Linked DNA regions of Yarrowia lipolytica. The protein of the gene in region 3 interacts with the protein of the main gene of each other region in a pairwise test. Links are inferred from orthologs where the notes say so. Each region holds a gene or a part of one and is shown on either strand. Other genes may lie near its edges.

Region 1 (4,114 bases), on a different chromosome or scaffold from region 3:
AAGAATCCTATAAACATTGTGCAAAAATCTGATGAAAAAAAAGTTCCTCTAAGCTGGTCGGTCCTCATCCCTCTTTCTCACCCCACGCCATCTGCATGCAGAGTAAATAGTGCAGAACCTCCGAAACACATCACACCATTCATCTCGCTCAATATTCCACCGATACGAATAAAAATTACACCATTAGAATTCTCAGAGATCCACCATGACATTGATACCCCCATACAAGTCATTACTCTGTTAATCACCCCCACACAGTCCGTCGTCTCTCGCAACTCTATCCCCATCTAACTCTTGACATCTCTTCATCTCCTAGCACCTTCCGAAGGCTTCAGCACCACCACACCATGAAGCGTGCTTTCGGTAGATTGAGCCCCCCTCTGCGTCATCTGACACAACCCCGCACCATGGCCACCACCGCGCGAACCACCACGCCTCTCAATCTCCAGATCGGCTGTTTGCAGCTCAAGCCCGAGATCGGGGAAGTCGACAAGAACATGGGAGTGGCCAACGAGCTCATCGACCGGTACTACGCCACTGCCAAGAAGGACGATAAGACCCCCAAGATTGATATCTTGATGCTCCCCGAAATGTCATTCACAGGTTACAACTTCGAGAGCCCCGAGAACCTCAAGCCATTCCGAGAAGAAACGGAGTCGTCCAAGTCGATCGAATGGGCTAGAGAGTGCGCCAAGAAGATCGACGGCCACGTGCTGGTCGGATACCCCGAGTTTAGCCCTCAAGACGATGCGACCTACAACTCTGTGTCCATGGTGTCTCCCAAGGGTGATATCCTCTTCACCTACCGAAAGTCGTTCCTGTACACCGCCGACGAGGCAATGGGCATGAGCGAGTCTCCCGACGGCTTCCAGACATACGGACCCTTCCCTTCTCTGTCTCAGGACATCCCTCTCAAGTTCCAGGTGGGAATTTGCATGGATATCAACCCCTACAAGTTTGAGTCTGCTCCTTCGGAGTACGAGTTTGGCAATTCAGTCAAGAAGAACAAGGTGCCTCTGGTGCTGCTCCCAATGGCCTGGACTCACTCCAAGTCTCCCTCCCTAGTGCCTGTCAAGTCCTCCGACAAGATCCCTATGACTGAGGAGCAGGAGAAGACCCACAGCGAGCTCCGAAACGCCATTGTGCATAAGTGCACCATGCTGCACGGCAAGTCCACCTTTGATGGACTCATCACCGAGCCCAAGGAGATCCCCAAGTACAAGAACGAGGATCTGGCCACTTTCCACGACTACACTGCCGATGTCGACAACAAACTGCCTTTGGTGGACACCCTGCAGTACTGGATCGAGCGTCTGCAGCCCGTGTGGAACCAGAACACGGACGTGGACTTCCCGGTGACCATGGTGACTGCCAACAGAGTTGGATTCGAGCAGGGAGACGTCCTGTACGCTGGCTCGTCCATGTGCGCGGTTATGGATCCTCTTCAGCAGAAGATTTTTCTGCGGGGAGCTCTCTCAGCCGCTGATGAGGGTCTCATGGTGTTCAATGTTGATTTGAGCGTTCCCAACTAACAGCCTTAATGACTGTCAGTGAGTGAGATGTGTGTTCAGGATGTGTTGCAACAACACACCATCTATGTATATATGATATTTTTTTGTTTCAAAGACGTGTAGCCGGGTGGCTTGGCTCTTTGCATATATTTTCTCCTCTTTTCCAGCAGTTTTTATTCTGAATCGACTTTTGACGTTGCTCAAAGAGCTAACATTCCTCAGAGGAATTCACATTCATACTGTGACTCAACTCTATACAAGCTACTGGAAACTAAAGAGATGATGTCGAAAAAACCTGTTGAAAGTGGATTTACGACATATAGGAGAATTGATATGGTCATCTAGACACTCTATAAGCCCTTCAATCCAACAGAAACTCACTCACACACACTCTCTCTCTCTCCGAGGTCAATAGGCCAATATGACAGGTGACGAGCTAAAAACGCAACAGTCGCGAATATTGCTGCGATCGAAAAACAAACAACACCATTCGACTCACCAAAACCGCGCGAGAATTTCCATATCGACAATTGTTTCCTTGCTAGCTGCCCAGATACACGTATTATCCCACCACCGGTTTGCCCCACCAACCTAAATCCTAACACGTACGCATCAGCAGCAGTACACGCTAGACTCAACCACATCACTATACACACAAAATGGTGCTCTCTACTCTGATTATGCGGGCCTCGGATGGCCTGCCTCTGTCGGCCAGCGTGGATGACGGCCAGGAGAACCTCAGCGAGCAGAAGAAGCAGTGCAAGCTCGTGACCCAGAAGCTGTCTGCCAACTCGGCCGACCGAGCCTCGATTGAAAGTGGCAACTACGTGATCCACTATCTGATGAAGGACGGAATCGTTTACTACTGCATCTCCGAGTCTTCGTACCCCCGCAAACTCGCCTTCAGCTACCTAGACGAGCTGGATCGGGAGTTCCAAAAGTCCCATGGCCAGGAGGCTCTCAAGGAGGGGGTGCGACCCTACAAGTTTGTGGAGTTCGACACGTTCATGCAGAAGACCAAGCGGGTGTACCAGGACACTCGAGCAACCCACAACCTCGACAAGCTCAACACGGAGCTGCAGGACGTGACTCGAGTCATGACCAAGAACATTGAGGATCTGCTGCACCGAGGCCACTCGCTGGATCACATGAGCGATCTTAGCAGCAACCTGCGGACCGAGAGCAAAAAGTACCGACGGGCTGCCCAGCGGATCAATTGGGAGGCCATGATCCGACAGTACATTCCCTTCATTGGAGTGGGTCTCATTGGTCTGTTTATGCTGTGGTGGATGCTCTTTTAAACAGGGGGACGCAGATGAGTCAATCATTTGGAAGATGGATGCCATCGACGACAGCCACGCCCGGGCTGAGAAGCTGTACTGAGGCTGTCTCAGCTCGCTGTGAACGGCTCGCTGAACGGGATATTGCTGGAGAAGCTGGATTTATACGATAGTAATATATTGATTGGGTGAGTTGCTACTGGAATGATTGGGAAAGCAGTACATACTATTAACCTGAAAGCAGTACATACTATTAACCTGTCCTTGCATGTCTCAAGAGTACTGGAGCTAGTTAGCTTCTGTTTTTTTAGAAGTATACCAAGGCTTGAAAAGCGCGAGTGTCGCTCGAATGTACTGTGTGAGTACAGAAGCTGCAAGATACAATGATTGGCGTGTATCAACTTGTTTGATTCTGTAATCCTTCCACTATTATCAAGGTCTTTTCATTACTAACCAAGTACAGTATATACATTGCAATTACTGTATCGTACCTCTACTGTAACCCATCTTACTTCCATATAGCCACTTGCTCAAACTCGTTGATTTTTCTGCCGATCGCGTTCAATGTCAATATATCATCTCTTCAAGGGATATATTACCATCCGTCACGCAATCTCTCCACTCCATTCAACGGACTCCTTGGTATGCCCGCTGTCTTAATTAACTCACACCAAATACCCCAACCCCAACTCGAACACACGCCTTCCTGATTTCAAACCCTAATGTGAAATTTGAGTGTGTGGTGCTCAGCGAGGTTCTCACACATACCACAACTTTTTTCACACATTTACACGACTAAAGATGCTAGCAGTCAGCCGAGCCAGCGGATTCCGAGCAGCCCGAGTGGTTCCTGTCCACGTGACCCGACAGCAGGTACGACACAACTCCGGCGGCCTCAACTCTCTGTGGTCGTGGTTCAAGCGAAAGGACGCTTCCAAGAAGGAGGCGGCCCCTCCCGTCATCAAGACCAAGGATCTGGTCAAGAACATTGAGCAGCAGAGCAAGGCTGGCTGGGAGTCTACTGCGGCCACCGAGCAGAAGACCGAGTCCAAGGAGGAGCCCAAGTCTTTTGCTTCCGAGACCGCGGTTGATCTGGAGGTGATCGGCATGCCTGCCGAACAGCTTCCCCTAAGCTCCGAGAAGCTTGCCGAGATTGGTCTGGGCAAGTTCCAGCTCAAGCAGGCCGAAATCAAGCCCGAGGCTGCCCTTGAGGCTCTCAAGACCGTGTCTGCAGCTGTTGTTGGCGGAATGGAGGGTGCTCTTGACACTCTGGAGAAGCGTCTGGAGCTGGTCAAGCAGTTCCAGAAGGAATCTGGTATCCGA
Region 2 (4,121 bases), on a different chromosome or scaffold from region 3:
GAAATATAATAGCTCGTCGTAGCCGTTTCTCCTCACGACACTGACTCTGCGAGTTGTGCCCCAAGCTCCAATGCGAGTGTTCTTTCATAAACCCTCCCCCCAGAGTGGATATCTTCGGGAGGAGAAGAACCACTAAACTGATGTGCGTGGTACCCTTACTTAGTTCAATCGTAAATCGTTATCTGTTAAGCTATTGACGTTACAACGCCCTTACAGAGCAATGAGCAGAACAAGCAGAATGATTAGGGCCACAATCAACAGAGTGATGCAGCATGAACCCAGAGTCTCTTGGTTCTTTCGCACCACCCAATCCACTTTCTTAAGACCACGCTGTAACCGAGAGCCAGCCGAGTCGGCGTGACGATCTAGGTCATCAATGAGATACGACTGGTCCTCCAGCTCCCGCGACATGACGTTGGCCTGTTCCCGCAACGAGTTCACCGTGTTGTAGACGCCATCAAGAGCGTTGTCCTGCTCCTCGATCTGGCTTGCATACATCTGCTGGGTGAGCCCTGCAGTTCGGGCCTCCGTGTCGTCTGGCTCATCGGAGTAGATGCCATGTGGCGTGCCTGTGTTCCGAATCTTGCTCACCTCCTTCTGTACCTGACCCAGCTGCGACATGAGTTGAGCAACCTGCTTGCTACGGTCCTGGATATCTTCGCTGCTGAGACCAAACTGCTGTGGTCGGCCCTGGGCGGCCTCGACGGACTGTGAAAGGTCGGATATCGTCTCTGCCAGCTCCTCTGTGATGTTTGTGAGATCCTGAAGGGTATTGTGGTTTGAAGGGTCCGACCGGAACTGCTCCAGCAGGTCTCGCGTCTGCGTCAGCTGGTTTTGCGCATCCGCGCAGACTTGTACAAAAGGATCCATTGTGTTTGTGCGAGAAAAGTTGTTGTGGAGTATGATACTGGTGCTACCTCATGCCACGGCTGCAATAATGGGAATATCCGCAGCCAACCTTAATTTGTTGGGGGAGACTGAGACCTTCACATGTAGAGATTATGTACAAGTACGAGTACGAGTACAAGTATGGGCTAATGGTAGAGACAGAGATGATCTGGTGTACTTACTCAATGCACCTTCACCTCCTTATAGATCAAATTGAAGCTGCAACACCATTTTAGTCCATTATATAATCACGTTCCACGTCACTCGCTCCGTCTCCGAAAAGTAATTGGGGAGTCCAGCGCTTAGATGCCGCCCGAAAACGCGTGTGTAAGATGTACTTAGCAATGGGAAATATCAACATCTCAAAAGTCTTAAATTAGTTAGGACAGTTCCTTTCGTTGCTGGGCAGCAAAGTCACGGAGACACTGGTAGACAAGAGTATGGTCTTCAACCTGAGGGAGACCACTGACAGTGACAACAGCGACGGGGCCCTCGATTCCGTTGACGCGAATGGGGAATCCTCCTCCGTGAGCAGCATACTCAGTGTCACTGACTCCGTAGGCCTCCTGCAGAGTTCGGCCCTTCTGTCTCATGTTGCATCCCAGAAAGAAACTGCTTCGACCGAATCGAATAACAGCGTTTCGCTTTCGGGACACCCAGTGCTGGTTATCAATGTTGGTTCCCAGTCCGGAAGCGGCCCGGAACCAGGTGAGACCGGTGACGGTGGTAATATCGATCAGAATGCACTTGCCTGCCTTCTTGGCGCGTTCTCGGATCTGGGAGCCCAGCTCGAACGCGTAGTCGGCGTTGAAGCCCATGAGAATGCATTCGCCTTCCTGCTCGTCAATTTTTTCCAGCGGAAGATCAAAGGGGAGTGGTGTGGCCATTTAGGGGAGTGAAGTGAAGGGGAGTGGAGAAGGTGCTTTCGGATTAATTAGTTCGAGCCGAATAACGTGTGGGGGATAGAGTTTGGGATTAAGGTTCGTTATTAAGACAGTGCGCTGACATCGCCAGAATCAAAAAGACGACTCCACAATCCCTTCCCGCATCGAATACAGACAAGAAAATGGCTGATACACCCATGACTGACGCCTTTCCTGCAGCTGCGGCTCCGGAGACTGCTGTGGCCAAGACAGAGCCTGGTCCCGAGCCTGCCATCCCTGCTGCTTCCGTGTCTGAAATATCATCTACACACACTCCCTCAGCGGTGGCTACCCCACCAACTTCCACATCCACACCCGCGGCGGAGCCAATCAAGCAGGAGACGGCTTCCACTGCCTCGCTCCCAAACCCTGCCGAAAACTACGGCGCTCCTACGCGACTGTGGCTCAATAAGGAGGTGAGTCCCGCCCTGCTGGCTGGCATGCGACAGATTGCCAAGGACAAGCCTGAGGACCCCGTCCGGGCTCTGGGGGAGTTCCTCATCAACTACAAGAAGTGATTGCATTGCATAGGAGGGTATCGAGACAGTGCACCATCGCGTGTAAGGTGCATTGGCCATGGATTGGTAGAATGAAGGGCGCGAATGGTAACTACGAGGCTTGTTTCTGCCATCATGTAAATTATAATGATATTGGTATTTGTTTTGTTTGAAGAGTATAGATTGGCAAATGTCAGTGATCTGAGAAAGACACATTAGTAAGAGTACTACTTGTAGTGCTTGTACGATTTGTACTTGTAAGCTGGTTATGCTGGTTATATGGGATGATGATACGACAAACCGCTAATGTCATCACGTGACTTCAAACTGACCTGATGTATTTGTACTTGTATTATACAAATATCCTCCAATAGAGGTATATTTAACGTATTATTCCCTCGTTCTTCCTTGAAAGTCTCCATTTTTTATTTTTATTTTATTTTTATTTTTATTTTTATATACCTCGCGGCCTTGATCATCATATCTGCTTATATAAGCAAACAGCGAGTTGTAAGAAAAAAAGTATTAAAAGAAGACCCAGACCCCAAAATCCGGGCCACAAACCAGCCCCGCCATCACCAACCCACTTGCTACAAGTGCTGGTACTCGAGCTGTCCCAGCAACCTCCAGCACAGGGATTCTGGCCCAACTCTGTTGTCCCATTTAAACTAAAATTGTGCATATGGCAAGCTGAGATTAATCGTACTATTCTATCGCTATCATCACCACCACCATGGCGACCGACAACACATTACGGCCCTATTACAACGCCGATACGTTTGGAACAGGCACGCTGTACACCAAGCGACAGTTCCCCAACTTCTCCGACGCACCTGGCGGAGCCACTACCTCTGGGTCCTACACACATTTTGAAGGTGGCAACAGCAGCCGACTGACCCGCAATGTGGGCAACCACAACTTCGGCGATCTGTTTGATGGCATTGAGATTGACTACGACATTACCGGAACGTCCGAGTCGGTTCGAAATGCCATGCATTCGCTGTTCCAGCTCTACGGCAAGACCTTTCTGAGTCAGCCCTGGGAGGTCAGCAAGCTACTGCTGCAGGTAGGAGACTGGAGTCATTTGCAACGAGTGGAGAGCGCGGCCGAGGTCGAGGACCACATTATTGAAGTGGCTCTTGAGGAGGAAGAGGAGCGAGAGGAGGACGAAGAGATTGACTATTTCGAAAGCAACCATAGAGAAACGCTGGGAGACTTGAGTCCTCGAACCCACAGCCGAAATCATAGTCACGGAGGCGACTCCCCTATTGTACTGGATTCAGACCCTCTACCTGACCAGAAGAAGCGACTCAAGAAGTTCCTCAAGAACTACCATAGCCAGCTACAGGCCCGAACTACACGCAACTGGGACATTCTGCTGGCTCTCAACGAGGTTGACGGAGTTCGGGGACCATGGAGAGCTCTCAACGCCTCCTTCCTGCTTGGAGCTCTTACAATGACTCTGGAGGCATGGTTTTCTGGATTCTTCAGCTCCATTTCTAACTCTCCGGACCCTCTGTTTCTGGAAGAGGTCGCTCACTCCCCTACTCCCATCACCTCTATCGTTGTAGCCGTCAGCGCTTCAGTGATCACCTCTCTCCTTGTGGCTCCTCTCGATCTCATCCGAACACGTCTGATTGTGTCTACACTCTCCACCAAGCCCCGTTCCGTGCGACAGTCGCTCGTGGAGCTCAAGTCGCTTCTGTGCCCTCCCGAGCTGCTGGTGCCCACTTTCCTCGGCTCTTTCTGTACATCTATTGTGCGACACACTCTACCTCTTTGGAAAATCACCAAGCTGGGCATTGACTCGTAC
Region 3 (4,334 bases):
ACGGAGCGCCTCCCAATAACACTCCCGATGGCAAAACGCTTACAAATCTAGCCAACAAAGTCTCCGAGGAGATGGGTGAAGGAGTGTTTCCGCTAGTTCCTTCCCCACATGAGTACCAGGCCAAGTACCTTGAAAAACCGCTGTGGATGGGCTGCGACGTGACAAAGATGAGGAAGATTCCAGAATCAAATAGATACGTGCCACTTTTTGTCGAAATCCCCAATCTTGAGGTCTCCTACAACTCCCTAGTCAAGACCATGAAACTAGACTACTCCAAGGAGGATATCGATGGAATTGTCCAAACCGGATTCGATATTGCTACCATGAGCAATTCCACTGAATGGGCCCAGTGTATCGGCTGTTCCGTAGTTCTGAGAGAGTTCCAGAGACAGAACAAAACGGTGCCGGAGGTGTGTCGAAAGTGTATGGATGAGTATTGCTATTCGTGAGGATGGAAGGAAGCTGTTGGGGGTAGTATGTACAATATATAAAAACTGACTACTCAACGCCTCTTCACCATCACCACCATCACCACCATCACCACCATCACCACCATCGCTTGTTCACCATCTCATCGTTCAGCTACGTGACGTTCGGGGTTGACTAGTAAAGACGAATGCAACCGTACTCATCCCGAATGCATTCTCCAGCCCGCACCGATCGCTCACATCTCTCTACAGTATGATTCGTATGATCGACTCAGAATGACACTCCAGGAGGACGGTCCAACTTGATCTTCCCCTCATGGCTCCAATCAAAACACAAATCTGTTTAATACATCAATCTTTCTAAGACACAGCACCACATGAGAAGCGCTCCACCGCACAGTCCCCTTACTGTCCTCCAGCACCTCCAGCACCTCCAGCGCCGCCAAACTTGCTGGCCATCTCTCGCAAAGCAGGGTCGTTCATCATCTCACTCATGGAGGGCATGTTGCCGCCCTGCATTCGCTGAGCCATGTTAGCCACAGCAGGGTTGCTCATCAGGTTGTTGAGCGCATTGGGGTCGGACATGAACTTCTGGGCCATCTGGGCCACGGCGGGGTTGTTCATGAGACCAGCCAGATCGGGCATTCCGCCTCCAGCACCACCGCCAAACATGGAACCGAGAGCTCCGAGATCGGGGAAACCAGCGGGAGCTCCTCCAGCTCCTCCAGCGGCTCCACCCTCAGCGGGGGCGTCCCGGGTGGCGACGGCCTCCTCATCGACTCGCTTCTTGGCGGTCTCGTAGCCCCGCTTCATGGCGTCGGAGACATTGTCGCCCTCGACCTTCATGCCCATCTCGTAGGCCTCCAGCGCGCCCTGGGCGTCACCGGAGGCGTACTTTGCCAGTCCCAGACGCGAGTAGGCCTTGGAGTAGTTGGGATCAACTCGAATGGCGGCGTCAGCGTCGGCAATGGCATTATCGTGGAGCTGGAGCTGGGAGTAGGCGGCGGCTCGGTTGGAGTAGTAGACGGCGTTGTTCGCGTCGATGTCGATGGCCTGGGTGTACAGATCGATGGACTCTTCGAAGTTTCGTTGCGACAGCGCCTTGTTGCCCTCCAGCTTGAGCTTGTCGGCCTGGGTCTTCTGCTCCTCAGTCAGAACCGCAGTGGCGGCAGCCATCTTGGCAGCGGCAGCCTCGAGTGCAGGGGAGGACTTGTCGGCACCGGCGGTGGAAGCCGAGTTGGATCGGTTCTTGAAGATGTCCAAAAGAGTCTGCTTGCCCAGAACCGAGTCCTTGGAAACACCCTCAATCTTGAACACGTCCTCCAGACAGTCAATGGCGACCTGGACCGATTCGTGGTCGTCTTCGGGGATGGTGCCGTCGGAGACGGAGGTTTTGAGGAAATCGACGATTCCAACTGCGAGATCTTTCTTGTCGGACATTGTGTGGGTGGTGTGGTGGAACTCAAGAGAGACATATGCACTGTTAAGATGGTGTAGTTTAGATTCACAACGTGGCGAGTATGAATGGCAGAAACATGGAGGGCTATCGAGGGGGTTGTGGGGAGTGAAAAGACAAAGTGAGTGGCTACAACGGATATTTATGACACATTGAGTTGATTTCTGCCGTCGGATTTTTCAGAAATTGGCTATTTCTGCCGTTACAACACACCCCTCAGAATGCCCCCTCCATGACCCCTTACTTTAGTTGACACTTTACTTTGCCTTCACTTGGGGAAGGTTCTGGAACAAGTTGGGACTGACTTTGAATATGTTAGCGACCTTTGAGAGGGGGCAAATTGAATTGACATGTTAGATCGGTGGCGAACTGCCAAAGTGTACAAGCAAGGTGGAACTACCGGAATACATTCAGCTCCACATCCGCGGCCGGTCTTATAGTGATTCTTCTCCCTCCAAGTGTCTCGTTGTACTCGTCCGTGGGGCTCGGGCGTATACTCTTTTGGGAATACGCATTTATGCCACAGATGGAATACGGCAACTCTAAATTGGATATATCCCGCTGCCGTATTCGGAAAATTGCACGTGACTCTGCAGCAGTGTTCTGCAGGCAGACTTGACCTCAATCTACAAGTGCAAGACCAAGTATAGATCTCAGCAACATCTACACTTACCTAAACAACATGTGGCCCTTCAACAGCAACAAACCACAAGACCAGGACGGCCCCGTGGACTTTTCCGCTCCGGTCACGTCCGACGGCAAGATGTTGGACGACACAAAGCCTCGATTCGACCTGGAAGACATCCAGGCCAAGAAGGCGGCTCTGCTCAAGGAGCTCAAGGAGAAGGAGGCCGAGCTTGTGCGCCCGCCCCCTCCCAAGATCACCAAGCCCGTTCCCGAGGGCGAGGCCAAGGTGTCGAATGTGGTTTCTCAGATCGGCGTGAACGACTTTAAGACCGTGACCCAGATCCCCTGTTTCCGAGACGCTATGATCACGGGCTTCATCACCGGTGGCTCTGTTCTGGGAGTCATGCTGTCGATGCGACGGTCCACGCTCAGCGCTGCCAACTGGGCCATTGGCGGATTCACCATTGGAGCCGTGGCCAAGTGGGAAATGTGTCGATATAACCGAAAGCAGTCGTTTGAGAACGCTGCTCTGGCCCACCAGGTCTATGCCAAGCGAAAGGCTCTCGAGGAGGGCAAGGAGTGATCGTTGGTCGTTCTGAATTGTAAATAGTCTCTGTACATAATGCTAACAGTGTTTTCTGAGTGGAGAAAATCAGTAGAGGAAGTGGCCATCAAGTTTAGCATCCGGACTAGACATTATTTGGGCTCTTGTAGTATATCGAATCAGCAGATGTTATGTCTCAGAAGTTCATCTGAAGAGTTGCTGATTAGTTGACTGAAGAGGTGACTGAAGAGGTGACTGAAAAGTTGCTGAAAAGTTGCTGAAAAGTTGCTGAAAAGTTGCTAAAAAGTTGCTGAAAAGTTACTGAAAGTTGATTATCATTTTTCTCTCAGTGTTCTATTTGTATATGAGCGACTTCACAAGCAAATAGAACAACCACCACCATCCATTGTATAAACACCAACAAGCCTCAAATCAACGCCCTTGATTTTGCCGCCTCTTCCAGCTGTCTCGTACGTGCTCAACACTAGATCCGAAAAAAAAGTGCACATCAAAAGTGTTATCGCCAGTCATCGCCAAAAACTGCCCCGTCATTGCAATACTCCCGTGTTTCACCTCGTTTCTTGCTCGCATCTAAGACATTCCACATGGTTGCGGGTTGACACTTTATGCGAGCGATGTGCGCGTTTCCACCTCCTGTACCAGAGTCGAGGCTTCCGTTCCTAGATTGCCGTAGAGTTTGGGCTGACTGGCGCCAATGATCGGCTGGTGGTGCTAGCGTGATACGAAGGCGGAGAGCTACTCGCACCCGTACTTGTAGCGTCTCCTGGTGGTCCCACTGGGCTTCCGAAACCTGGCTGATGGAGTCGCTACGGTCTTGCAGCAAGCGTTGCAGGCCACACGCTGGAGCAATGTGCTGCGGTGGAAAAAAAACCCGTCAGACAGATGACGAGACCAGGACGAGCTGACGAATGGCAGGCCCATTTGCACCAAGGGGTGGCTCACGGCACGTGGTCCATTCATGACTTTCCAAGAGCAGCGTTTCCACCAAAGCCTAGATCGAGTGGGGAAACAGGTCTAGGTTACTCGTACCGTCGTATGAGCAGTACGTACTGTAGCTGCCCCCACAAAGCTAACCCCCAAATGTCGGAATATGCTTTTAGGACTTGTAGGAACACAAAACCGTGGGGCCAAGTATAAGATGGGGGTCAGGGGAGTGGGTGTGGCCTTTATACTTGGTCTTTTGTTTCTCCACTGCGATTCTGGTGACAAACCACAAGTAACAAATCACATCGATAACTTGCCGCCGGTAACAAAAGCA
Region 4 (4,044 bases), on a different chromosome or scaffold from region 3:
TATACGATAACGGTGAATGGCCAAATGCTGGGATTGTTGGCTATTGAAGGGTTAAACGCAAGGGATACAGTCGAAAGCTTTGGTGTTTCAACGAAATGTGTCACATGACAAACTTGCTGTTCTTTTTGAACCAGTTTGCGCAGTTTTCCATCTCATGGCGGATTATTCAGCAATTTCCGCTACATGACAACCTCACCCTACCATAACTCCTAGCAGGGATAGTGTAGAGATGAAAGCCTAGCAGAAGAATCCCGTGAATATCGTGTATAGCATCGCTGCTATGTCCTTGTAGACCTTAGGCCAGACCTTTACTGCCATTGCTACAGTAAGTGCAGTATGTACAGTACATACAATACATCCGGTTCAACTACTCTTGTCCTGATGACGTCCCATCTCCACAAGGCCAGTAAACACTGTTGAGTCCCTGTTGAAGGACCTCTTTTCTTAATCATCTTGTCAATAATCCCACAAATTGTCGTTGGATTCAACAAGACCAAAGTTCAACCTGAGTACTGCTCATCTATACATATTCTCGGATCCTGAAGTCTTTCCTAGTTAGTGCCGGCGACTGTCACCCTTCTATCATACGGCATCACTCTCATCGCCATCTACTGGTATTCTATACTGATCCAGCTGTTGAAAAGTTCCTGGCTCAGATAATAGCTAGCTTCAGTCATGACTCGGACCAAGATACCTCAACATCCGCCATTTGATGGTTGACTGTCTGGGGATTTGGTTCTTCTGGATCAGGGGCGATGAACGACAGTCTGGTCATCATCAGATGCCTCCACCACAGCCTAGGATTCCATATCGTCAACCTGAACGGAGACTCCAAGTGTCTGACTTCCGCTTTTTCTTCTCTCGAAGACAATGTTTCATTCCATGACCTCAGTGTCATCTCTACATCGACCTACTGGAGCCGAATGTTGCGTGCGTGCTTTCCATTGCTCCGGCACTGCCTCGTAGACTTGCACGTTCACCTCTTCAAGTCCCTTCCACTCAACGATGGCTACAAGTAGCTGGTCTATCTATAACTCATATATTACCATCACGTGAGTGGGCTGTAGCGTTCTGTACATATTTTAGCACGGAGCATTGTGATCATCAGTGCTTTACGTGAGCGTAACATGTGACCCACTTTCTGTGAAAAAAATGATTTGTCACACTCACGGTCCATCTCACCGTTTTTTCTGGCTCAACACGGCGCCCAGAACAGCAGCTCCCACCGCAATGACTCCTCCCACAATAGCAATTCCAATCATGCCCTCCTTGGCCAGCTTGTCCTCGATGATCTGACGCAGCTTGGCGCTCTGGGGGTCATCGGGCTCGATCTGCAGCAACAGGTCGCAGTATTTCCGAGCATCTGTGTATTCGCCAAGCTTGTAGGAGCCGATGGCAAGGTAGTAGAGGCACTCTCGACGTCGAGAGGGCGTGTCCTTGTACACCTGGGCCAGGATCTGCACTCCCAGCTGCTGGTCCTCGACCTTTCGAGACTTGATCAGACCCCAGGCATAGTTGAAGCGGGTCTGCACCGAGACAAAGTCGCCCTCGTTGTTGTACTGTTGAGAAAGAACGTAGAGCTCTTCGTCCGAGAGCGGAGACTCGATATCGACGAGGTCTGTGTTAGAACGGAAGTGGCTGCAGTCCGGGGAGTTGGGGGTAGGTGTCATGTGACAGGGTTGTTGGAGGTAGATCCAACGGAGTAGAGCAAGCAGGTAAGGAGTTCTAAAAACTGGTATCAATGAGATGTAGAAAGTGCAGTAACGTATCGACGGTCTCAGTTGCGTCTTTGGCCATGGTTTGTAGAGGACCACTGTAGGCAGCGCCGATTCAACCAGCACCAATGTAAAGTCAACACTGATTGAATCAACACCGAATACTATATGAACCTCCGCCACGCCGCCTCCACTGCCTCAGAGAATATCCTTGAAAACAACTAAATTGACCACTCAAAATTTGGAACCAACACGTCATAGACAAGTCCAACCAACCGCTCCACTCCATCACTTTCACCCACCAATCGGCGCAAACATGGGTATCTCAGGACTCATCTCAGCTGTCGTTTCAGCTGTCGTCTCAGTTGTCGTTCCAAATCGCTTGTCACCCTAACCCCTCAAACACCCTCCCCTCGCCTCAATTCCCTAACCCGGCTCTCCATCAATACTCACTGGGCAAATAGTCCTCCTTCTTCATGGTTGTGTATGGCGGATAGTACATGTGTGCGGGATCGAATATGTAGGGTTGCTGCAGTGGCGAGTCACGTGAGCGAACTTTAACGAAAATTAAACGGAGTCACAAAACCGGCACACAAAGAGCCTTCAGAATGTTTGATAACTCGGTCGCAGGTCGATATCACTAGACTAGGGACCAGGCATTATCCGCCCCCGTGGCGCTAACGAGCTTAGTCATCACGGAGTTAGCATAAAACCTTATTTCGATATGTGCAACCTTATCGTTGTTGGCCAATGAGAGTGCTGTTTTTTAAAAACCGCAATACCGCTTCCCGGCAGAGTGACCAGAGAGCACGTGTGTTGAGCGTTCTGATGAACACAAAAACCGCGTTCAAACGGCGGTATTTCCCTCCCCACTTCCTACATCTCAGGGTTAGGGTAGGGTTAGGGCGGATGCAGAACCTGTACTATATCAAAAGTCTGGGATAGGGTTTGTTCTTGTGGGAGGTCCTGACTAAGCGCAAATTTCACACACATCACCAAACACACATACAGCAAAAATGGTGGTTCATATTATGGGAAAGCGGTTCCAGAACACCTGGAAGGTTTCTGTGAGTATTTCACGGGTGACATGGAGCGGGTGATGACTTGTTCGGAAAAGATGGAGCCACAAATGACCGAGAACGCGATGGATCAAACTGTGAGATTTTGTCATGTGGACATGTTGAGCTGATAAGAGCTTAGGCGGATGGGAGAAGGACGGGAGAGTGACTAATGATGGGGTTTCGGCGGCGACAAGTGATTTACCGACTTTCAGCTTTCGCAAGTAGGTGAGAGAGAAGAACTGGTGTGATGATATGAACGTCACACATCCGACATGTACGTGACACGGGCTTGTGCAAACGGCAGTATTGACAATTGAGGACGGTTTACAAGGTGTTCCGAGACTCAAACTGTCGTTTAGTCTTGTTTTCGAGACTTTTGGCCCAAAAGAGAGTGATACCATCAACCAACAAATAACGTGTACCCAGGATACGTACATGGACGAAAAAGAGTGGATAGACGGCCTATCTACATCTAAGATCTGGTATTCAGCGCAGGTTAAGACCGATGAACACTGATTTTTCCAACCAAAAGCATCAGATCTTACACCTTACATGTCGACACCCACCATCCTTCCCGAGTGGCGGATTCCACCTGCTTTCTTCAGTTTTGCTCTATTCTCCCCTGCCTCGTGACATACTAACTCAGTACGGACTGTCTCAGCAAGTGTTCGGCGTGGGTCCGTTCCAGGCCAAGCGGCTATGTGCCAAGATTGGCCTGTATCCTGGCATGCGAATGGGCGAGCTCACCCAGGGCGACATCATGGCAATTGTCAAGGAGCTGTCAACCAATGTGACCATCGAGTCCGACCTGGCCAAGAAGATCAACGCCGACATTGAGCGAAAGCGAAAGACCGGCTCGTACGTCGGTCGACGACACGTCATGGGTATGCCCGTCAAGGGCCAGAAGACTCGAACCAACGGAAAGAACGCCCGACGGTTCAACCGAGTGCCCCGACGACACTTTGGCTCCGTTTCCGAAGCTCTCGGCTCACTGGCCAACGAGTACAAGGCTGCCCCTGGAGCCGAGGCCAAGGGCATCATGGGATTCCTATCCAAGTTTTGGTAATGTATATAGTCTGACCGAGGTTAAAAAATGAAATGTTTGAACGCAAGCGACAAAGTTCCACACTGGTGGCACCGTCAGATAGTCGTCTACGAGGCGATGTCAAGTTACAGGTTTGTCGTATGTCAATCCAACAAAAGTGTAAACTACTGTAGACTCCCAACTAAAATGTTAACTAGACTCAAGTACTAAATCTCCAAATGTC

Evidence for each region.
Region 1: the proteins of YALI1_C13000g (region 3) and YALI1_D27762g interact in binary tests that used the Saccharomyces cerevisiae proteins (3 or more experiments, as listed by UniProt). The link is inferred for Yarrowia lipolytica from reciprocal best matches to the Saccharomyces cerevisiae genes SGT2 and SEC22.
Region 2: the proteins of YALI1_C13000g (region 3) and YALI1_B07852g interact in binary tests that used the Saccharomyces cerevisiae proteins (3 or more experiments, as listed by UniProt). The link is inferred for Yarrowia lipolytica from reciprocal best matches to the Saccharomyces cerevisiae genes SGT2 and YBR137W.
Region 4: the proteins of YALI1_C13000g (region 3) and YALI1_B08616g interact in binary tests that used the Saccharomyces cerevisiae proteins (3 or more experiments, as listed by UniProt). The link is inferred for Yarrowia lipolytica from reciprocal best matches to the Saccharomyces cerevisiae genes SGT2 and FIS1.

The regions. Positions count from the first base shown.
Region 1 is NC_090773.1:2,774,205-2,778,318, reverse strand, and holds YALI1_D27762g (uncharacterized protein), read left to right. Parts: upstream 1-2,170; coding exon 2,171-2,812; downstream 2,813-4,114. Other genes in the region: YALI1_D27780g (uncharacterized protein), read left to right, coding at 348-1,532; YALI1_D27765g (uncharacterized protein), read right to left, coding at 1,548-1,710, 1,758-1,852; YALI1_D27748g (uncharacterized protein), read left to right, coding at 3,593-4,114. UniProt on the Saccharomyces cerevisiae protein: Nonessential SNARE involved in targeting and fusion of ER-derived transport vesicles with the Golgi complex as well as Golgi-derived retrograde transport vesicles with the ER.
Region 2 is NC_090771.1:783,434-787,554, forward strand, and holds YALI1_B07852g (uncharacterized protein), read right to left. Parts: upstream 1,776-4,121; coding exon 1,269-1,775; downstream 1-1,268. Other genes in the region: YALI1_B07843g (uncharacterized protein), read right to left, coding at 211-870; YALI1_B07853g (uncharacterized protein), read left to right, coding at 1,955-2,329; YALI1_B07864g (uncharacterized protein), read left to right, coding at 3,042-4,121.
Region 3 is NC_090772.1:1,298,187-1,302,520, forward strand, and holds YALI1_C13000g (uncharacterized protein), read right to left. Parts: upstream 1,869-4,334; coding exon 834-1,868; downstream 1-833. Other genes in the region: YALI1_C13007g (uncharacterized protein), read left to right, coding at 2,567-3,094. UniProt on the Saccharomyces cerevisiae protein: Co-chaperone that binds to the molecular chaperone Hsp70 (SSA1 and SSA2). Regulates Hsp70 ATPase activity. Required for recovery from heat shock.
Region 4 is NC_090771.1:859,984-864,027, forward strand, and holds YALI1_B08616g (uncharacterized protein), read right to left. Parts: upstream 1,671-4,044; coding exon 1,179-1,670; downstream 1-1,178. Other genes in the region: YALI1_B08627g (mitochondrial 37S ribosomal protein uS13m), read left to right, coding at 2,732-2,782, 3,423-3,842. UniProt on the Saccharomyces cerevisiae protein: Has a role in mitochondrial fission. Has a role in outer membrane fission but not matrix separation. Required for targeting MDV1 to the mitochondria.